Linked DNA regions of Sus scrofa. The protein of the gene in region 3 purifies or fractionates together with the protein of the main gene of each other region. This does not show direct contact. Links are inferred from orthologs where the notes say so. Each region holds a gene or a part of one and is shown on either strand. Other genes may lie near its edges.

Region 1 (7,624 bases), on a different chromosome or scaffold from region 3:
CCCCCTCCATACCATACTCTATAAAGCTGATTAACTGTATTGTTTTCAACTGACTTGGTTGTGTAAGTTCTATGAATAGGTAAGCTCAGATAGAACATAAAGGAATCTGTTGGGACTTTTTTTCCCTTAACTCGTCCTCTCAGTACATGATCATCCTTGGCTTGGTCTTCATCTTCCAGTTTGGAATCTCTTGCTCATGTCTGGCTATTAACCTAAGCAAACAGGTAAGGTGGCACCCCTTCAGGTACTTATTCCCCCCCGCACTAACTCCTTACTCAGTCGGGCAACAAAAACTATTACTAGGCCCACTACCTTCAGACCCTTGAGCCATATCCTTCCTCTGGGATGTCTGGCTAATTGTCCATGAGGATGATCCAGGAGAAAGTGGGTAGTTATCCCTATGTGCACCTTTACTTCTGAAGGAAAACTCCCTTTACTCGAACAGGGAAAACTGAGGCACTTGAACTGAGATCAGGATGTAAGGAGATTCTTAATTAAGGTTAGCAATAGCAATAATTTCTTTCTGCCTGATATATTCTCCAGACAGATATCATCAATGCTTCTTGGCGGGTCATGAGCAACAAGACTCGGAATGAACTGGAAAGAAGTTTTGATTGCTGTGGCTTGTTCAACCTCACAACCCTGGATCAACAAGATTATGCTTTCTGCACTGCAGTGAGTTGGTGCAGAAAAAGTGGGGGGAGAGGGTAGGAAAACTGGGTTAAGGACAGTGCCATATTGGCAGATTTGAGTTTGTGACTGGCAGCTCAGTTTTATTGAGGGCTGTGTGCTGGTAGGAGTGGGGGTGGATACAGAGGCCAAGGAATCATCCACATGGGATTCCAGGCTGTAGGATGCTGATCAGGAAGTGGGAATATAATTTCTAGGGCCATTCACCACTAGGTATTAGACTAGAGCAGCATAGCAACTCTGCATTCTCCTAACTCCCATATGTTTATCCTCAGATCTGCAAGAGCCGGAGCCCCTCATGTCAGATGTGTGGAGAGAAGTTTCTTAGGCATTCAGATGAAGCCCTGAAAATCCTGGGAGGTGTTGGACTCTTCTTTAGCTTTACAGAGGTAACATTCTCCAGTTGCCTAATGTCCTTTCTCTACATCTGTTAAGTCTTAGTCCCAGAGATTCAAAATTGTTGCTCACCTCTTCCCCTCTGCTTCTACAGATCCTTGGTGTTTGGCTAGCAATGAGATTTCGGAATCAGAAGGACCCTCGAGCCAACCCTAGTGCCTTTCTATGAGATGCTGAATCCTTCTGACTTTTCTCCCGCTGTTTGCTCTCCCTAAGCCTTTTTTTTCCCCCTCCCTTAGGGAAAACCTGGGGTTTACAGCCCTTTTTGTTTGAGGAAAAAGGAAAGGTCTTTTGCCATGTTCCCTAGATGACTGAATAGCTAGGCTTTATGCCTTGACATGTTTTGTTGGGAACAAGATTATAAAGAATAAAAAAACCTTCCTTCCTCTCTCCCTAAGTGGATATGGAAAGCTCCTGAAAGTGCATGAGATGGGATAGAGGTCGGAGGAACTCCTGGCTCTGTTTCCCCTCTTCTCCCTTCCATGTGCTGGACTGCCTCAACACATCCTGGCTCCAAGGGTAAATCAGGGACAAAGCCAGGGAGAAAACCACCAAGAACTCTTGTAATAAGCTGGACCCAGTTTGAAGAAGTTCAGTAAATATAAAAATAAAAGCCATTTAAACTCTATATTCAAAAAAGCAACATAAGTGCCTTTTCTTCTTTTGCCAGTTAAGGAGCTCCACTGACTCTATAGACTCTATGATTCTGTGGGGAAGTGCCATCTTCCAAATGTTTTTTTTTTTTTTTTTTTTTTTTCAAATCCCTAAATCAGAGGAAAAAACATTCCCAGAAAAAAGACCGTATTTCTTTGTTTTGTTTCTCCTGTATAAAAAAGGATTCTAGTATCAAGGTACAGGGAAGGGGAGAGCAAGGAACATACCCCTTGGTGTAAGGAAATGGGGGGGGGTAAGTCTCAAAAGGAGGGGAGGGAGGGGAATGTCATTAAGGCAGCAAAATATTCTCTGTAAAAAGACAGAGGCAGTCGTCTCCACACCCCAGAGATGAAGGCAGAGATCGACTTCTCGGCAAGGGACTCTCAAGTGTTCAAAGGAAGGGAAGTGTTGGCTTCTCTTCTCTTGGTTCTGTTGCAACCATTCCATTGCTCACTCTGGGTTACCTTCTGCCTTATGTAGATAAGAGTGCTGCAGGGCTCGGAAGGCAGAGATTCGCTTGTGTGGGTTAAAAGTCAGCATCTCCTAAGAAGGGAGGCAAAGGTCAGAAAACTGTGAAGAAAACAAAATAGACTTCTACTCACCCTTAACAATATCTAGAATGGGTTCTTTTCTATCTCTCTTTGTGGACTGCCATTCAAAGCAGCAAGAGAAAACTAGCCCATCCACTAATGAGTCTCAGTGATCACAATGTGTTTGGGTCCCTTTTATACTGCTGTTTTTTCACCCCAATCTCACCCTGTGCCCATACCCAAGCCCAGTACCAGTAGCAGCTGTGCTCCAGACTCCTCCATCTCAGGTACCACCGACTGCACTGGGCGGGGCCCTCTGGGGGAAAAGGCTCCTCGGGGTAGAGACACATCTCGGGGCCAGTCATCCTCTGGGGGCAGCCCAATCAGGCTATGGGAAACAGGAGAACTCTGGTCAGGAGGGCCCGTCTCTAGCCCCCACCCCCAGGGGCAGAGCCAGTTTCCAACCAGGGCTCAGCAGAAAGAGGACGACTAAGAATGGAAAACTCTTTTCCCTTCCCAATCACTTACTCAAAGATTTTGCCTAACTGGTCAGCTTCAGAGTTTCCACAGAAGAGAGGCCTGAGGTGAGAAAAGACATAAGACAGCAGTCATTTTCAAACATATGGTGGAAGAATGATTACAGCTTAGTAGCTCAGAACATCGGGTATGTAGAATAAAGAGCTATGGAATTCCTAATTCCAGGATATTTCAGAGCTTCTGGTTATAGACCAGATGGTCAGGAGTACTCAAGTAGAAGAGTGGCCATGACATGGATGTGGTTTATGAATAAGAGATTTGGGAAATTATGGGTTATTTGGGCCCCATACTTTCGACGAAACATCTCTGCGAAGATACAGCCAACGCTCCACATGTCCACAGGTGTTGCATACGTAGACTGCAAAAGAACTTCTGGAGCACGGTACCAGAGTGTAACCACCTAATAGGAATAAGAAGGGTCGATGAGGTCCCTACTCCTTACCATGAAGCACAACTGCTTCACTGAAGTCAAGCACGTAAAAAACACGTGACTTCCCAACTGCTACGAGCAAGCATTCTCCTCCCACTAACCAGAAGCCATTTTGGCTACCATCTTTCTACTGACCACAGGTGTAAGTGCCATCTGGTAGCTGTAGATTCTGGCCAGGCCAAAGTCAGCCAGCTTGACTGTCCCACCACTTGTAACCAGAATGTTCTCTGGCTTCAGGTCTCGATGAACGATGCAGTTGGCATGAAGGAAATCTAGGCCTCTTAGAAACTGACGCATCAGATCCTGGTTTAGAAGGGGGAGGTACAGAGAAACTGGAAACTAGGCATCATACTGGAAGCCACAACAGATGCTACTACAAAGATCCCAGTTTACTTCTCAGTATATGTCCATCCTACTCACCTTGATGGTCTCCACCGGCAAGCCTGGTGGGGGTGCCTTGTCCAGATATGTCCTTAGATCTTGGTCCACATGCTCAAACACCAGGGTCACTTTGGTCTCTCGATCAGTTCGGGCAGTGGCACAGACATCCATCAGCCTGGCCAGAACAAAAGGTCACTCAGTGATCAATCATCTTTGACCTAACATGGCTTCCCCTATTCCTTCAGGGTCCCCACTTCTTTCAACCACCACTCCCCACCTACAGGTTGTCTATTCCTTTTTACTACCCACTCCCAACCCTCCACCTTCTTCTCACCGGACAACATTGGGATGCTCGAAAGCCTCCAGCCGGCGCAGTAAGGCCACTTCACGAACCGTGCTGATGGGCAGGCCCCCTCCAGCACCTCCTCCATTGGGGACTCTTACGCTCTTGAGGGCCACAAAGTGGCCACTGTGGGGATCCCGTGCTTTGTACACGGTCCCATAGGCACCAACACCAATCTCCGCCACTGGTTCATACCGGGAGGTAGCCATTCTCAGACCAGATGAGACCCTACAATCACAGAGACTCCTGCCACCAAATTCCCTTCCAGAGTTCAAATAGTTATGAGCCTGCGGCAACAAAGTGTCTCGCACAAAACATATCCCAAAGACAACAAGAGCAGCATCCCGTCCCTTCCCCAAATTTCCATAAGGCCGACCCCCCTAGGTAACACAATGATTAACCAAAAGCCCTCCAGCCACGTGAGGCCCTAGAATTAAAAAATTCCTTCTTCTTTGGGACTATCAAGCCCTGTACAAGGGAAATCCCACACGACACACCCCCTGCATTGAAGACCCTTCACCTAGTCCTTTAAATTACACCTCCCTATGACCACAAAGGAACATACTACACCCTGCACCACTTCCCGCCCTCGAGCGACCCTTCCAGACCAGCCCGCGTAGGAAGCCGGGGAGGACTAGAATGGTCCCTATTCCTGGAAGGGGGCTACACTTACCTCGCCCCGTGTCAGGAGCTGCGGGGGCGGCCCGTTATCGGGGCCCCGGAGCCGGTTCTTGCAGCGCCATGCACTCGAGCTCTGTCTGGGGCAGCTGGACTCTACGGGCCCGACCATAGACATAGGCCGCAGGCTAGAGCGGCCCCCTTTGCCCCCACCCTCACCATGTGACCAGCTGCCAAAGAGGCGCGCGGAAACTGGCAGGGCGGGGCGAATGTGCCGGACGTTCGGAACACGTGACCAGAGTACGCGTGCGCAGAAAGGCAGCTTGGAGCCTATTTGACCGGGAAGGGGGCGGGGAAGGGAAAGGGGCGGAGGGGCGATGGCAGCCACGTGATCTGTTGCTATCACACGTGACCGCTTGACTGCTTGGAGGAGCAGAGGTGTGGTTACGCTGTAGGGCACGTGACTGGCTGCCGTAACTCTGGCGAGGGGGGGGCGGGAGCCTAGAGAAGGTGGAGTCCAATACGGTGCCATGGCAACCTGGGCCACCCAGATCCCAATTCCCCATTGCAGGCCGAGCCGGAGCGCCAACTCCAGTGTCACTATGCGTCTGTCACTCTATATGCAGAGTGGGGGGCCTGGGGACGTGAGGAGGTGCTGTCGCCTTTATGTACCACCGCCATCGGAAAACATATTCTCATTTGTGTCTTTGTTTCATTCACTCATTCAACAAATTTTTACCGAACGCTTACTTCCTGTGTAAATGTACGGTTTTTGCTACATGAGTTTTTTTGGTGTCTCAGGCACTAGCCCTTTAAGGTAGTGAAAAGGCTATATGTAAAGATATAGCCGGCAGCGTGATCATATAAAATAGAGAGGACACAATACCCGTTTTAGGGCAAAACTAGCATTAAAGGACTGATGGAAGGCAGATAAATACAGTAATCCAACAGGAAGCGTGGCAAGGTAGTGTGCCTTCACCTCTTCAGAACTTCCATTTCTCCCTGGGAGTGTTAAAGCAGAATCTAGATACCTCCTGGCAGAGAGGTTATTAATGAGCTGGAAACAGGAATACTTGACCTTTAAGGTTCTTTTCCAGAGTTCCTGCTGTGGTGCAGCGGGGTGAGATCCGTTGAGTTAGTTGTCTCTGTGGTGGCACAGGTTCAACCCTACCAGGCGCAGGGGGTTAGCGATCCCACGTTGATACATCTGCAGCTCGGATTCAGTTCCTGGCCGGGAACTTCCATATGCCACAGGTGGGGCCAAAAAAAAAGTTTCTTTTCTGCACTAAGATGGTGTGTGTGTGTGTGTGTGTGTGCACGCGCGCGCGCACGCTATTATATACATCATATACAGATGGATATAGGAATGAGTGTGTGCAAGGAAGTTACCACCACATTGCATAAAAATGACTATGCCCTTGTCCAAACCTTCTAACTTTTTATATGGGGCCATTGAGTGGCCTTCTCTTCCACCAGTGCAAGCTTCCTTAGCCTTTGTCCCTCCACAGAACAAATGTTCCCCACTCACAGACATCTAGGTAGGCAATAGGCAGGTTTCTCTGGCTTCTCTTGTCTTACTGGCTCCAACTTCTTTATCTCCCAACCCTTTGGGGGAATGGGGATAAGGAAACGTAAGGATCAGTGTCTCATTAATGATAAACTGTCTAATATCTGAAACCATTCTATTAGTCTATTTGCTCTCCTTGCACCCTAACTTCTGTTCTCCTTAACCATCTGGCTGAGGATGTCAAGCTTGAGATGAACATAAATTGTGTTGCATTCTTTTTTTTTTTGTCTTTTGTTTTTTTTTAGGGCCACACCTGTAGCATATGGAGGTTCCCAGGCTAGGGTTCGAATCAGAGCTGTAGCTGCCAGCCTACACCACAGCCACAGCAATGCTGGATCCTTAACCCACTGAGCGGAGCCAGGGATCTAACCTGAGTCCTCATGGATACTAGTCAGGTTCATTAACCACCGAGCCATGGCTGGAACTCCATGTTGCATTCTGAAAGTTCTAGCTCTGGGCCCTTGCTGGCAAGGGCAGCTGGGATACTAGTAAGAAACATCTCAAGGTCTAAACTGGCTAAATTGCTCCATTGGCTGTTTTGCTAGGAACGTTCCTGAAGTCTGTCTCTGAGTGTGCCGAACTCCCTTCCCATACCAGCAGGGTTCATTTTAGCCTCACCTTCCAATGAAGCCCCCCTACAACTCACTGTCTTTAAAATAGAACTCATTCTCTGGGAGTTCCCTGTTGTGGCTCAGTGGTCACGATCCTGACTAGCAACCACAAGGATGCAGATTCTATCCCTGGCCTCCCTCAGTGGGTTAAGGATCTGGCGTTTCGGCAATCTATGATATAAGTCGAAGACACTTCGTAGGCTGGCAGCTTTAGCTCTGATTAGACCCCCTAGCCTGGGAACTTCCATGTGCTGCAAGTACAGCCCTAAACAACAACAACAAAACAGATAGAAGTCATTCTCTATGTTGGCTTGGGTTCCAGCCCCTTTTTCATCTTTTTTTTTTTTTTTTTTTGTCTTTTTAGGGCTGCACCCATGGCATATGGAGGCTCCCAGAATAGGGGTGGAAATGGAGCTGTAGCCACTGGCCTATGCCACAGCCATAGCAATGCCGAATCTGAGCCAAGTCTGCCACCTACACCACAGTTCACAGCAATGCCAGACCAGGGATCAAACCCACAACCACATGGTTCCTAGTTGGATTCATTAACCATTGAGCTACGACGGGCACTCCAAGAACTCTTTTTTTTTTTTTTTTTAAGGGCTTCATCTGTGGGTATGGAACTTCCCAGGCTAGGGCCTATGCCACAGCCACAGGAATGCCACATCAAGTCACACCTGTGACCTGTATCACAGCATGTATCAAAGCTAGATCCTTAACCCACTGAGCAAGGCCAGGGATCAAACTGGCATTTTCCTGGATACTAGTTGGGTTCCCCCCCCCTTTTTTTGTCTCCTTTTGGCCGCCCAAGAATATGGAGTTCCTGTGCCAGAGATCAGATCCAAGCCACAGTCGAGACCTAAAACT
Region 2 (7,816 bases), on a different chromosome or scaffold from region 3:
GCCCTGAGCTGCCAGCCAGCATTTCCATCTCAGCCACGTGGGGGGACAAGAGAGGAAGATGCCCAGAGCCTGCAACTGCGGGGTCATTAACTGAGCAGAGTCAGCCACAAAACTGCAGACAGCGTCACGCCTCCAGCAGTCTCTTTTATGTGCACAGAAAAAAGGCAAGAAACACGTGGCAGTGTCCTAGAAATGACACACGTGCCTCTTAGAGAAGTGGGGGTAGAGACGAGCCCGGCGGGGAACCGGGAAGGCGACCAGGCCAGCGGGCTCGGCCCTGCCACACACACGCCCTCGCCGCCTGCTTTCTAGAGGGAGGCTCCCCGCTCGCTCTGAGGATGGCGGGGCGTCTAAACGCCGCGCTGGGAAACGCCTCGGGCCTCCGGGCGCAGCGCCCAGCGCACCGGGAGAGCTGCGGCCAGCCCTGCCGCCTGGACCCGTCTCCCTGGACGGCAGCCACCGGGCAGCGTGAGAACCACAGAGACGCCCGTGCCCTTTGACCCGGTGAGCACAGCTACAGGAAGCAGCCTCTGCAGAAGAGAGGGGCCAGCAGGGCTGGTGTGAGTCCCCTACGCTGCCAGGACACTCGCCCTCCAGATGAGGGAGGTCCCCATGCCTAGACCGTGGGCACAACACGGTGGCCTATGGGGAGCACCTGCTTTCCTCCAGGAGTCAGGAGGCTTGGCGTGTGCTGGGCCATGACCAGCCCTCCATCAAACTCAGGGCGCTGAGTCTCCAGTGGCGCCCCAGGCCTCCAGGGAGGCCCAAGTCGCCGCCAGAGAAGGGAGGAAAGGAGGAGGGGGCCAGAGGCAGGGGGTGCTCCGCCCCCGCCCTGGGCCTTCCGTCCTCGGGGGTCCTGGGCCGGGAGGGCACTGTGATCACGTGGACTCGTCCCCCCCACCCCGCAAACGGCCCCTCGGGAATCATCCAAAACTCTGGCAAAAAGTCAGCGGCCTCGGGCAGGGCTCTCCCTCCACGCTCACCTGCTCTCCAGAGCCTGCCGCTCCTTGGTGGCGGCCTCCAAGCGACTCTGGCTCTCCTGCAGCTCCCCCAGCAAGGACGTCACCTGGGCTTTCACTGAGGCCTTGTCCTCTGCCATCTGCTGCACGAGAAGAAGCCACGCCACGTCAGCACTGAGACCGGCCACCCCCGGGGCTCCTCTCCTGCCCCCGGCACCCCGACTCATCTCCCTCTCATCTCTCGAAGCTTCTCCCCCAGCAAGGCCACTGAGGATGGGGCCAGAGGAGCACAGAGCTGCCCATGCGGGCTGAGCCCAGCAGGAGTCTCCCCACCTTGCTGAGACTCAAACATGTGACAGAAACCTGCGCGCTCCCCGGGCCCCAGGCCACTAGCAGGTAAGAGGGAGTGACGCTGTTCCCACAAGTCCTGCACCTGCCCCAAAACTCAAGAGTTCTCCAACTCCCCACCGCCCAGACGCCCTCCCAAGGCTGTGCAAACCCTGGGCCCGAGACCTCAGGCTGCTCAGGCCCAGGGTCAAGCCTCAGGCCCCCACCCCTACACGCAGCGCCACCCACCCCGCCCGCCACTCATCCCCCTCCTTTTCACGCCCATCTGCGTGCACCTGAGGATGATCGGGTCGGTCTCAAGGTTTCCACTGCCCTGGACAGGCCAACGGCTTCCAAACCCTGAACCCCCACTGAGCCAGCCAACGGCCTGCCGATCGCCCTGACGCCCGTCCGCAGGCCCTGCTGGCTAAGGCGCCCACTGCCACCACCCCCGCCCGCCCTGGTCAGAGCCCCGAGGATAACGGCTTCTCTCGACTCTGTGCGGCCGCCCGAGGGTGCTCCTGGGGACCCCCGGGGGAGAGGGCAGGCGGCCGGCGCCCCGCTACCTGCTGGCAGGTCTTCAGGAGCTCCACCTCCTGCAGGGCCTGCTCCCTCTGCCTGCGCAGCTCCAGCTTCTCGAGGCTCAGCCTCTCGACCAGGCGCCTGGCCTCGCAGAACTTCTGCATGAGAAACTCCTTCTCCTCCCGCTGGCTGCCCTGGAAACGCTGCAGCTCCTCACAGCGCTCCCGCAGCATCTGGTTGCTCTGCCGGATGGCATCTGGCGGCAGAGGAGACGCAGAGGGAGGTGAGGGCGCCGGCCTCTCCCAGGCAGCGCACTTTCAAAAGCAGTGGTGCCCATCACGTGCCCATGCTTTTCCAATCAAACATTAAACACATCAGGTGCACTGAGAGCTCTGGGTCCGATGCCACCTTTTTTGTAAGTGACGCTGGAACTCGTCTATGTTCTGCTCGGGTGGGAGGCAGGCCTACCCTAGGGCACCCGGTCACTGCCTCCAGGATCAGGGGGCCGGCCACACAGGGCAAACGTCCCTGTGGCCCTGCTGCCGCAGACTGGGGGCCGGAAGCCTTGGAGCCAGCCGGCCGGTCACCGAAGCCCCACCATCCTCATCGACATGTCCCAACGGGGACGATGACACCCATCTCACGGGACAAGGAAGGTCACACAAACAAGCAGCCAAGAGCCGGCACACAAGACCAACTCGGGGACCAGTCGGTCGTCCTCTCCCCACACACCCAGCGGACACCCCAGGCGGCAGAAGGCCATCGTGAGCGACAAAACTCATCAGCGGCACGCAGAGGTTCTAGCAAGCACAGAGCCAGATGACACGGGGCAGGCAGTGGCTTCATGTCACCCTCTGGTCAAAACACGTGACCAGCTAACTGGTGCCTGCTACTGGAACATTCTTTCACTAGAACTTCAGCAAGTTATTTTCTCTCCCCTCCTTTTCTTGGCTGCACTTGCAGCATGTGGAAGTTCCCAGGCCAGGGGTTGAACCCGTGCCACAGCAGCGACCAGAGCCACAGCAGTGACAACACCAGATCCTTAACCCACCGAGCCACCAGGGAACTCCTACGGCAAATTCTGAGCCCCACTCCAAAGCCACCTTCTGGACTCCACGGTCCCCACATGACTCCTCCTGTGCAGCTGACCAACAAGCCTTGGACAAGGCCTCTTGCCGAAGGCAGATGGTCCCCCCCAACGGCCACCTGCCAAGCCTCCGTCCGAGGTTCACCTCAGCTCCCACAAAACCTCTGTTTTGGGGGTTTTTTTAAAGATCTTTTTTTGGGCCGCACTCACGGCATGTGAAGTCCCTGGGCCAGGAAGCAAACCTGCACCACAGCAGCGACCTGAGCCACTGCAGTGGCAACACTGGATCCTTAACCTGCTGCACCACAAGAAAACCCACAACTTTTGTTTTTAATTGAGGTAAAATTCACGTAACAGCAAATTCACCATTTTAACTATTTTAAAATACACAATCAGGAGTTTCCGTTGTGGCTCAGCGGAAAAGAATCTGACTAGCATCCATGAGGACGCAGGTTTGATCCCTGGCATTGGTCAGTGGGTTAAGGATCCGGCGTTGCCCATGAGCTGTGGTGTAGGTCACAGATGAGGCTCAGATCCCGCATTGCTGTGGCTGTGACGTAGGCTGGCAGCTGCAGCTCCAATTTGACCCCTAGCCTGGGAACCTCCATATGCCCCCAATGAGGCCCTAAAAAAAGACAAAAAAAATACACAGTCATTCAGTGGCTTTAATGTATTCATATAGTTGTGCACCCGCCCCTCCCTCTAGTTCCAGTGCATTCCCATCACCCCCAAAAGAAACCTCCCACCCACAAGAGTGTCACTGAATGAGAGGCTAGGGGTGCCCCCCCCGGATGCCCCAGGCTACTGCACCAAAGGGGCAGCTTGCCAGCAGCGGAGGCCCAGGGCACAAACCCGAGGAGGAGGGGGCGCTGTCCCACACGAGGGGGCCAAGAACGGGTCACACCTGAGGGGCACGGAGCCATGGCCCCTGGGACCCGAGAAGGTGACCCCGATACAGGGGAGGACGCGGAGGCTGGGTGAGTGGGGCTGGGACGGAGGCGGGGGGGTGGGGGGTGCCGAAAAGCCCTCGACCCCCCGCCCCCGGCAAGTGCTGCTGGAGCACAGCCCTCCGTCAGGTCCCCGGCGCCGCCTGGCCCCTCCTTCCCAAAGCCGCCCCCCGGCCCTTCCCAGGGAGGCCACGCCCGTTCCCAGCGCAGACCACACCCCCTTCCTGGAGCAGATCCCGCCCCCTTCCCAGGAGACCCGCGCCCCTCCCAGTAAGGCTGGTTCTGACTGACTGGTCAGTACATGAGTACGGAGACACCAGGGCCTGGCGGCGTCGGCCCAACCGGGACAACGCAGAAGGGCCATATTCCAGCTCAAGCCCCTTGCAGGGTGGGCCTCTCCCTGCACCCACCCCTGCTTCTTCGCTGCCCTGCCCTCCCCTCCCCATCTGCAGGGCTGGTCCCAGAGGACTCTGAATAAACCTCCTGCGTGCCTCCCTGGATCTCGGCGTCCACTTCCCGGAAACCCCACCTGGACCAGGGCGGGGGCGGCGGCTGGGACCAAATCACTAACCCGCCCGGGTGCACGCCGCCCCAGTCCCAGGAAGGCAGAGGTGCGGCAGGTGGGAGGCGCCGGCCCGGGATCTCGGGGCACAGGCCCGCTGCCGCCCTCACCTCGGAGCTCTTGATTCTCCTCCAGGCAGCGCTGGAAGGTCTCAGGAGCACCCTGCTCCGAAGGCAGGTGGAGCATGGTTGGCTTCCCCAGAGAGGACTCTTCACCCAGCACGTCCTGGTCCCCTGCCGGGCCGCCGCTAGGCTGCACCATCTCACACGGCTGACTCTTCCAGGGGGTCCTGCTCATCCAACAAGTCAGCGTCTGAAAGAGATGCCAGCAGAGGCATCGCGTGAGGAGACCCAGGCAGAACTCTCCTACCCTGCAGGACAGGGAGTGCCAGGGCCACGCTCGGCAGAAGGACAAGCACTTTGCCAAGTGGAAAAGGCGCTAAAAAGGGCTCTTTGGTCTACGAGTGGCTCACATTCCCCTCATGTGGGGCTCGCAAAGGTCACGGTTCAGCACCGGCCGTAAACGGCGCCTCAGGCTAGCTCCCGGCTGGACGCTGAAGCTGCCGATTTCACCACAGAGGAGAATCGACGGAGATGAGGTTGGGAGGCAGGGGTCGCTGTGCTGGAATGCCCACCCTCCCCACACCTCCAAGCAGTAAGATGGGTCCACTCCCTGGGCCCCGGAACCGGGACTGATTGGGAAAGGGGATTTGTTGGAGTTCCCATTGTGGCTCAGCTGGTTAAGAACCCAACTAGTATCCATAAGGATGCAGGTTCGATCCCTGGCCTCACACAGCGGGTTAAGGATCAGTATTGCCGTGAGCTGTGGTATAGGTCACAGACGCAGCTCAGATCCCGTGTCACTGTGGCTCTCACTCATGTGGGCTGGCAGCTGCAGCTCCAATGAGACCCCTAGCCTGGGAACTTCCATATACCTCAAGTGTAGCCCTAAAAAGCAAAAAAAAAAAAAAAAAAAAAAAAAAAAAAAGGGAAAGGGAAAAGGAAAGAAGGAAAAGGATGTAATACAAGTGAAGGATCTGAAATGAGGTCCTCCTGGATCAGGGGAGCCCTAAATCCAATGATGAGTGTCCTTCTAAGAGACACAAAAGGAGAGACAGACACAGAAGAAGCCACGTGAAGATGCAGAGACTGGAGTGATGCGGCCCCAGCCCAGAGATGCCTGGAGCCACCACAGGCTGGAAGAGGCAGGAAGGACCCTCCCCTGGCGCCCCCAGAGGGAACAGGGCCCTGCCACGCCCTGACTTCAGGCTCCTGGTTTCCAGAACGGAGAGAGGACAAATGCTGTTGTCTTAAGCCATCTGCCTTGGACTCTCTCACGGCAGCCTAGGAAATCAATGTACCTAGTGAGAAGGGCTTCACAGAGACCACTCAGAACCTGGTGGGCATTCCCTGGAGCTGAGCACCCGAAAGCGGGAGCTGGGCTTGCAGCCTAAGGTGGCAGGGCCGAGAGTCAGGCTGAGCTGTGTGCATCGTCCTGTGAACTAGAGGCGGGGGCAGGGGGGCGCTCTGCGGGACAGCACCCGCCCGGAGCCCTTTTAAATCCTGCCCAAGAAAACCGACTACATGGAGGAGGAAGCCGATCCCAAAAGAAGCTTCCAGGAGAGAGCCTGAGCTGCAGCTAGAGACGTTTAACACCAAACAAGCTGGGACGTTTCGCTGTTACACTGATACTTCTCTGAATAACCCCCTGACCCACCAGCACTATCTGACCAACCGCTGAGCCCTGAGTCCAGAACAGCCACCACTTCACTGGCTGCTCCTGCTCTGGCTCTTTCCGTGGACCATCCTCGCCACACTTTTCATGCTGTGATGCTCCGGGGCTCCTTTCTGGGATCTCATCTTTTCTCTAACTACAGCTACTCCAGCGCTAATTCCATCCAGACTCCCAGCTTTAACCCCCATGCATCAAACTCAGCATCTCAGGCTGGACATCTAATCCTCCTCTCAAAACTCACCTCTCCAGAACTGCACTGCTCACAGTCCCCAGAAGCCGGCTCCACCCACAGCCTCCCTTATTATTAGGTGACAGCACGTCCACCCTCCGGTCAGCAGGACACAACCTGGGAGTCCTTCTTGAGTCCTCTCTGGCCCTCAGGGCTCACGTCTAATCCATTGGGAAATCCCGTCAAAAGGTATCTTAGAATCTATTTGAGGACACTAAGCAATTAATGTTAACTTATTTTAGGTGTGATACTTGGTACTGTGGTTGTTTCTTTCAAAGTCCATTCTTAGAGATGCATCCTGAAACATTTACAGCGAAATTATAAGGTGCCTGGAATTTGGTTCAAGGTAATGGGGGACCTGCTCGGTATGTACCTGAGAAAAATGAAAACACAGGTCCACGTGAGACTGCTCTTAGCGGCCAAAGGGTGGAAATGACCTACATGTCCATCGACTGATGAATAAACACAATCTAGTACATTCCTACCCTACCATGTTAATAATATTGAGCAGGAGTGGCGCAGTGGTTAACGAATCCGACTAGGAACCATGAGGTTGCGGGTTCGATCCCTGCCCTTGCTCAGTGGGTTAACGATCCGGCGTTGCCCTGAGCTGTGGTGTAGGTTGCAGACACGGCTCAGATCCCACATTGCTGTGGCTCTGGTGTAGGCCGGCGGCTACAGCTCTGATTGGACCCCTAGCCTGGGAACCTCCATATGCCCGGGAGCGGTCCAAGAAATGGCAAAAAGACAAAAAAAAAAAAAAAAAAAAAAAAAAAAAAAAAAACACTGAGCAACACAGAGAAACAGCTCACAAGAAACCACATATTATGAGTCCATTTATGTGAACTATCCAGAATAGGCAAACATAGAGAGATGGAAAGACTAATAGATGCTTAGAACTGAAGTAGATAAGGTGATGGGTTGATGAAAATGTTCGAGAATGAATGGTGATGGTTGTGCAGGTGTGTGAATATACTGAAAAGCAGTGAATTGTTCACTTTCAATGGGTGAATTGTGTGGTATGTGAATTATATGTCAATAAAGCTATTTTTGAAAATAAGAGATTATGAGGGGTATAAATTAAGCAAAGGTAGCAACAGGTTGATAACTGTTGACGCTGGGAGGTGGGTACCTTGGGTTTATACTATCCTTTCTACTTTTGCACATCTTTGGTATTTTTCACAATAAAACGATCCGAGCCCCATCATCTCTCACCTGGATAACTGCAATAACCTCCTAGCAGATCACCTTGCTCCAACCCTTGCCCCCTACGTACAGTCTGTTCTACCCACCGCGCCAGAACAATCAGACCAAAAGGTAATTCCTACCACGTCTCTCCTCTATCCAGATCCCTACCATAGTTCCTCATGGCCCTCCGCCAAAAAGCCACAACCCGTACAACAAGATAGTAGGCCGTGCACTATCTGGTCCCCCATTGCTTCCTCTCTA
Region 3 (7,190 bases):
AATTATATGATTCCCAGGTTTCTTTCCAGCTCTAAAATTCTGTGCATTTCTAAATTCTAGAGAGCAAGCTTGGAAGGCAGCCATGCTCACCATTATACCACCAGTGTGCATTTGAGAACACGTTTGATTTTCTTTAAATTCTACTTAACTTGGTTGCTATAACTGCTCAGGATTCCAAATGAGCTGTTTGTAGACCCAAATATATAATACACTAGAATAAAATTTTCTGTAAAATCCCTTAAGACAATATGAACTATATGTAGTCTTTAAATATTTTTTTTACATTTCCCAAAATTGCTAAATAGAATATTAACACTTGGAGGTGGGGGATTGAGGCTTTTGGAATTTGACTAGAATTAAATCAACTTGGTCTAATGAAACAATTTAGCTGTTTAGAAGCTCTGATTGGTTGCTGATAACTCTGAACTTTGGGGAACACTAATGATAATGAAATAATGTTGCAAAGCCATGACCTAAAGCTATCCTGAATAGATACAGAGAGATGGCCGGAATTGGTGATTAGCAGCAAAAAGAAGGGCTCAAGTTGCTATACAATTACTTAACTTTGTTGCTTCTTAGCATCACAGCTGCAGTAGTGATTTGTGTATTTCATAATATGAACCCTCTTACAATGACTGATCTTCGGATAAAATCTGGATCAGCAGTCACACATATGGAACATATTATTTTTAACATGCAATTTGATAGACAACATCTTCCAAAACATTAGTCTATTGGGGGAAAATTAATGAAAGGTTCAAAACCACTGACCTAAGATTTTTCTCCCAGAATGTCTCTGAACATTTTGTACTACTCAAAACTTCCCTGGAGGCACCTTCATAATGATAGGTAAAAGATCCCATCTTCAGAAATGGTTGGTAGATAGGTTCCCATACCCATTCCCTTTTCAGAAGGTTTCTATCTGCTACACTGCCTTCCCGGGCCTGGGCTCTGCAGGGTGTTGCACAGGGCGCAGTGTGCACACGCAGAGTCCGGCTCTCTGTGAGCACAGAACTGGGGCACATCTCACGGCCGTCGCACGCTGGAGCTCCACCTTCATTACCTGTCAGTTTGGTTTACACCTAAGTGGGTAAATCTCTCCCCTTAGTGGGGTAGAACTGTAATAAGCTTTTAAATGGGAATGATTTTGGTGTTTAGAAACTCCCATCAACCTCTGAACACTAAAGAGAAGAAAGGTAGGCAAGGACTCTCTTCCTTTCACTCTGAAAATAACTATCAAGCACATTTAATAGCAATGACGTCCTGCCGGGACTGTGCAGGTCAGGCAGGCAGTGTTCTTCCAGGCCGAGAGCATTAATTCTCACACCTGGGCAGTGTTTCTCTTTTCCGACTTGGAGGCAGTGGTCAGAAGGCTGAGGACACCTTGGTGCTATGGGGCTCTTACGCCCCCTTGTGCTCCTTGGGGAGAAGCATTTCTAAAGCAAGCAAGTTCCGTATCTTGCAACCCACAGAACCCTTTGTAGACAAACCAGGCTTTGCTATGTTTTGAACAATCACTGCCAAACCCAGAAACCAGTGCTATGATGTAGAGACAAGTCATCCATGATGTGAGGATTTTAGGTTAAAGAAAAACCCTCAATCTCCCCCCTTTCCTCTTTCCTTCATTCTTTTAGGGCAGGATTTCTCGGCCTGAGCACAACTAACATTTGGGGCTGTATACTTCTGTTTGCTGGGAGGCTGTCCTGTGTGGTGTAGGATACCTAGCAGATTCCTGGCCCTGACCACTGGATGCCAGAAACCCACACACCCTCTCCACTTGTGACAGCTAAAAACATCTCTGAGCACTGCCTAATGTCCCTGGGGGGCAAAGTCACCCTGGTTGAGAACTCCTGTCTTTAGTATGTCAGAAGCAGAAATAGCACAAAAACTTTTGCTTTAGACATTGAGATATAAATAAAATTATGTATGCCATACATGAAAGAGCATTAAAATGCTCTAGAGGGAGTTCCTGTCGTGACAGCATTAACAAACCTGACTAGTATCCGTGAGGATACGGGTTCAATCCCTGGCCTTGCTCAGTGGGTTGCTCTCAGTGTTGCGGTGAGCTGTGATGTAGGTTGCAGACAAGGCCAGGTCCTGATTGCTGTGGCTGTGGCATAGACTGGCAGCTGCAGCTGCAGTTTGACCCCTAGCCTGGGAACATCCATATGCCACAGGTGTGGCTCTTTTAAAAAATGCTTTATAAATGTAAAGGAACATTTGTGTATTATGAAGTCTTCTTACTTTGGGAGTTTTTGTAAGAAACCATAGCATTCTACCATTCTGATATCAGAACCTACTGAAGTTTTAACACCTGGGGCCTTATCCTCCCTGGCACTTCTTTTCTTTCCCTGTGACAATATATTAGATAATCAGAAAGGAAATTGGTACGTGGAAGATGGAGGAGAGGGAAAGAGGAAGCAAGACATAACAGGGAAGTGCCTGACCTGAGTGGAATGACCCCTTTCTCATTTCCACCCGCACCTCCATTTTGCTCCCAGTGACTGAAAAACTTTTGACTCACTCCATAGTTATAGTCCTTTGACCTTAATGTTTACTCAGCAGACCTTCCTTAAGAGCCACCTTGTGTTAAACCCTGGGTATTCCAAAAGGGGTCGGACATGGTTTCTGTCCTCAAAGAGCTCACAGTCCAGCAAGAGAAAAGAGAGTGACAGAAAATGCCTCACCCTGACCCGGGGGAGCTGTGTTCTTGAGCAGTGGCCTCAGGCTGTGACGGACCGTAAGTGCAGACGGACTGAAAAGTGGTTCGAGAGGAGTTCCCGTAGTTCCCATCGTGGCACAGGGGTTAACAAATCCAACTAGGAACCGTGAGGTTTTGGGTTCAATCCCTGGCGTTGCCGTGACCTGTAGTGTAGGTCGCAGATGCGGCTCAGATCCCGCTTTGCTGTGGCTCTGGCGTCGGCTAGGGGCTACAGCTCCGATTGGACCCCTAGCCTGGGAACCTCCATATGCCACGGGTGCATAGAAAAGGCAAAAAAAAAAAAAAGGTGTGAGAGCAGCACCCCCTCAGTAGAACCCACACCTGGAATTTGGGGGTTTGCCTTCTCCTGGCCAGTGATGTGTGTGCTACCCTCTCATGACGCTGGTCAGCAGTGAGCGCAGCCCCCAGTCGGTCCTAAGACCAGGAGGGCAGACGTTCTCAGCACAGGATTCCTTACGTGGGGGAGTCAACACTTCTGGTAAAGTAGTCTTTGTGGTAAACGATGAGGATCTGCCCAGGCTTAAGGTGGGCCCGGCTAAGCTGTGCTGTGCAGTCTGTTCAGCGAGTAAATGCATTGTCAGTGCACCGTGGTGGTGCTGGGGGTGACCCCACTGTCAGCTGGGTCTGTACGGTCAGACCCAGGCCCTGCCCCAAAAGGGACATCGAGGCTTCCTTCTCCAGCTAGAGTCCTTCATAACAACATTCTCGTAGATCTGCTCCGCTTTTTCTCTTCTCAGTCATTGGGTGAGTTCTGTGTGTGCTGGGAGCATGTGCTCTGCCTTGACTGGTAACCCTGGTGAAGGGATCGTAACATGCTCGTCGGGCAGACACTGGATTTGGGTCTGGATGCAGTTCTGCCAGCTTATAGCCGCCTCCTACCGAGGAGACCCCTCACCTGTACCCCCGTCTTATTTGTGTGTTTAAGTGGCTCTCACTCCTTACATCCATCCTAAAATGGCAGTAAACACATTGTCATTTCTTGTATAGCACGTATATATAATTCACATGGATTAACTACACAGTTGTTAGTCACAATCATTAGAATTCTAATTAGGCGAGAGCTAAAATGTGACTCAGATTTTTCTCATGGAGTTGGCTGACTGACACCTATGTGGTTTATGTCTGCTGTATGTGGGACTGCTGCTCTTCATCTGTGCGTTTTCCCGTCGTCTGTAGATGAGCGGTTAGCAGACCACAGCCTGTTTTCGGGAGTGAGGCTCTACTGGGACGCAGCCACACCCACTTATTTATCAGCTGTCTATTGCTGCTTTTGTGCTACCAAGGACAGAGTTGCAACAGAGATTGTTTAGCCTGCGAGGCGTAAAATATTATCTGCTCCTTTACAGGAAGAGGTTGCCAACCTTGGGTTTCAGTAACTGCGATTTGCTGGGTTTGGGACTAGCATTTGCTCTAGGACATGATGTCTGCTGTGCAGCGCCGACCATCAGGAGAAAGGGGAAAAGTAACTTCCCTTTCCAGTAAGCTAGTGACACAGCCTAGACTCACCAGCCTCTTGGAAATCCGATGAATATTAGCACCAAAGAATGTGACCCCAAAGCCTGCTGACAGAACGGCCCCTCTGGGAGGGTGAGGCGGGCAGTTGGGGAGGAGAGCACTGCAGGGCCGGGCCTGAGCCCCGCCCGAATCACCGGCCTTCAGAAACAAGGGGAGGGGCCCGGAGGACCGAGAACCCACGGGTCCTCAGGTGGGACCAGGTGGTCATTTCTCAGGGAGGGCTGGGCTTACCCTTCCTTTGAGCCCGCACAGCACATAATTCCTAGCTTTTGTTTATCTCGTAGGGAGGCAAGTACATGCAGGCCGTCATTCAGTATGGGAAGATAGTGTCCTGGCTAGAGATGGAGTACGGCTTGTCAGAAAAGGAGTCTAAAGCTTCAGAATCCTTTCTCCTCGCCGCCTTCCTGAACCTGGCCATGTGCTACCTGAAGCTGCGAGAATACACCAAAGCCGTGGAGTGCTGTGACAAGGTAAAGTGACTGCGTGGGGAGAGATGCCAGGTGGTCTTGCCTCATGCATGGTCGGCTTCTGCTTGCTCTTCCTCGTCTCCCAGGTTTGGGATTTTTGTTTTGCTTTGTTTTGTTGGGGACTATTTGTTTCTCAGTAAGAATTGGGAAATTCCGAGTTCCCATCATGGCTGGGTGGTTAACGAATCTGACTAGCATCCATGAGGATGCAGGTTCGATTCCTGGCCTGCAGGGGGTGGATTAAGGATCTGGCGTTGTCCTGAGCTGTGGTGTAGGTCGCAGTCGCGGCTGGGATCTGGCATTACTGTGGCTGTGGTGTAGGCTGGCAGCTCCAGCTCCAATTCGACCCCTAGCCTGGGAGCCTCCATATGCCATGGTTGTGGCCCTAAAAAGCAAAAAAAAAAAAAAAAAAAAAAAAAAGAATTAGGAAACTCAGAAATTCATCATACCTTACTGATGCCTAGATTACTTATAATAATAATACACTATGAACAAAAGTTTTGATAAAATTAAACAATTTTATCTATGACCTTAAGTCTCCAGCATTTGGTACCAGATCGGATATATAACTCCACAGGTTCAATTTAATAAGGACAGATTAAACTTAAGCCTTTTAGGACTTTGACTGCTCGTGCAGGAATATGTACAAGTCCCTTTTTATTGTAATCATATTTATTCACTGACTAAGAGCACACATACCTACCTTGAAAGACCCACAAAGCGTCCGCCTCCCTTATTACTCTTATGTTGTTAACACTGTTAAGGGCACCTCAGTTCTGAAAGACCAGAACTTTACTGTCACCTGTACCTTTCTGTTGTTTTTATGTAGAGCTGGTGCTACTGTGGTAGAATGAACAGTGTATGTTATACTATGAGTAAAATCTAATAACTGCATAATTATTTTTGAGTTTGAAGATTTTGAGTTTTGGAGTTCCCGCTGTGGCACAGTGGGATCAGCGCCAGAACACAGTTTAGATCCCTGGCTGGGCAGAGTGGGTTAAAGAATCCAGTGCATAGGTCACAACTGAGGCTCGGATCTGATCCCTGGCCTGGGAACTCCATATGCTGAGGGGTGGCCAAAAAATATTTTTAGTTTTGTGGATTAACATGTTCCCTGCAATGTTACACTAAATTTCTGCCTGAGGAAAAAAAAACACTATATTTTTAAAAACTTTGTGCCTTATTATGGAAGCATAGTAAAAAGTCATTCAAAATTCAGACATTGGAGTTCCCGTCGTGGCGCAGTGGTTAACGAATCCGACTAGGAACCATGAGGTCGCGGGTTCGGTCCCTGCCCTTGCTCAGTGGGTTAATGATCTGGCATTGCCGTGAGCTGTGATGTAGGTTGCAGACGCGGCTCAGATCCCGCATTGCTGTGGCTCTGGTGTAGGCCGGCAGCTACAGCTCCGATTTGACCCCTAGCCTGGGAACCTCCATATGCCGCGGGAGTGGCCCAAGAAATAACTAAAAAGACAAAAAACAAAAACAAAAAACATTCAGACATTATAGGAGTTCCCATCATGGTGCAGTGGTTAACAAATCTGACTAGGAACCATGAGGATGCGGGTTCGATCCCTGGCCTTGCTCAGTGGGTTAAGGATCTGGCATTGCCGTGAGCTGTAGTGTAGGTTGCAGACTCGGCTCGGATCCCGTGTTGCTGTGGCTCTGGTGTAGGCCAGTGCCTACAGCTCTGATTAGACCCCTTGCCTGGGAACCTCCATATGCCGTGGGAAGCGGCCCTAGAAAAGGCAAAAAAAAAAACAAAATTCAGACATTATAGAAACCTAAGAAACAGACATTATTTATACAATTCCCCTTGAGCCTCTCTCCCAAAACCAGTCTTTCATTTCAAACACATTCCTTTTTTCTCCATAGAGTGACATATATGTGTTTTTTTAATGACAATATATAGATTTATAGCTTTATAAAATGATGTCTTTCTGTATCAGTTCATCATACAATACTTCATTCTTTTTGAGGTCTATATAGTAGCCTATGTATGAATCTATCATTGTTTATTTAACCAATCCCTTTTGGTAGATTTCCAGGTTTGTGATATTACAAATTACATAGCATCTCTTTGCATATGTGTGGGATAATTTCTCTGGGACAAAATTCCTAGAAAAATGGATATACTGAGTCAAAAGACATTATTATTTTGGAGTTCCCATTGTGGCTCAGCAGGTTACAAACCCGACTAGTATCCATAAGGATGCAGGTTTGATCCCTGACCCTGCTCACTGGGGTAAGGATCCAGCATTGTAATGAACCGTGGTGTAGGTCAGAGAGACAGCCCAGATCCAGTGTTGGTGTGGCTGTGATGTAGGCCTGCAGCTGCAGCTCTGATTTGACCACTAGCCTGGAACGTCCATGTGCTGCAGGTGCAGCCCTAAAAAGACAAACATAAATAATTTTTAGTACTTTATTTATTATTGAATATTATCAGTGGTTTATTTTCTCAGTATTGGCAACAAATTCATCTCATT

The links. The genes of interacting proteins can lie anywhere in the genome.
Region 1: the proteins of FKBP5 (region 3) and CDK4 purify together in Homo sapiens (affinity purification with mass spectrometry; 3 studies listed by BioGRID and IntAct, counting the BioPlex papers as one, with this or other methods). This does not show direct contact. The link is inferred for Sus scrofa from reciprocal best matches to the Homo sapiens genes FKBP5 and CDK4.
Region 2: the proteins of FKBP5 (region 3) and IKBKG purify together in Homo sapiens (affinity purification with mass spectrometry; 3 studies listed by BioGRID and IntAct, with this or other methods). This does not show direct contact. The link is inferred for Sus scrofa from reciprocal best matches to the Homo sapiens genes FKBP5 and IKBKG.

Annotation. Positions count from the first base shown.
Region 1 is NC_010447.5:23,037,259-23,044,882, forward strand, and holds CDK4 (cyclin-dependent kinase 4), read right to left. Parts: upstream 4,702-7,624; 5' UTR 4,635-4,701; intron 4,190-4,634; 5' UTR 4,171-4,189; coding exon 3,953-4,170; intron 3,794-3,952; coding exon 3,658-3,793; intron 3,541-3,657; coding exon 3,373-3,540; intron 3,208-3,372; coding exon 3,098-3,207; intron 2,850-3,097; coding exon 2,799-2,849; intron 2,659-2,798; coding exon 2,523-2,658; intron 2,284-2,522; coding exon 2,191-2,283; 3' UTR 1,948-2,190; downstream 1-1,947. Other genes in the region: TSPAN31 (tetraspanin-31), read left to right, coding at 144-224, 544-675, 966-1,079, 1,181-1,255.
Region 2 is NC_010461.5:125,041,765-125,049,580, reverse strand, and holds the start of IKBKG (NF-kappa-B essential modulator), read right to left. Parts: upstream 4,702-7,816; coding exon 4,515-4,701; intron 2,065-4,514; coding exon 1,853-2,064; intron 1,103-1,852; coding exon 984-1,102; intron 1-983. UniProt on the Homo sapiens protein: Regulatory subunit of the IKK core complex which phosphorylates inhibitors of NF-kappa-B thus leading to the dissociation of the inhibitor/NF-kappa-B complex and ultimately the degradation of the inhibitor.
Region 3 is NC_010449.5:31,446,608-31,453,797, reverse strand, and holds part of FKBP5 (FK506 binding protein 5), read left to right. Parts: intron 1-4,521; coding exon 4,522-4,707; exon of another isoform or gene 4,708-5,124; intron 5,125-7,190. UniProt on the Homo sapiens protein: Immunophilin protein with PPIase and co-chaperone activities. Component of unligated steroid receptors heterocomplexes through interaction with heat-shock protein 90 (HSP90).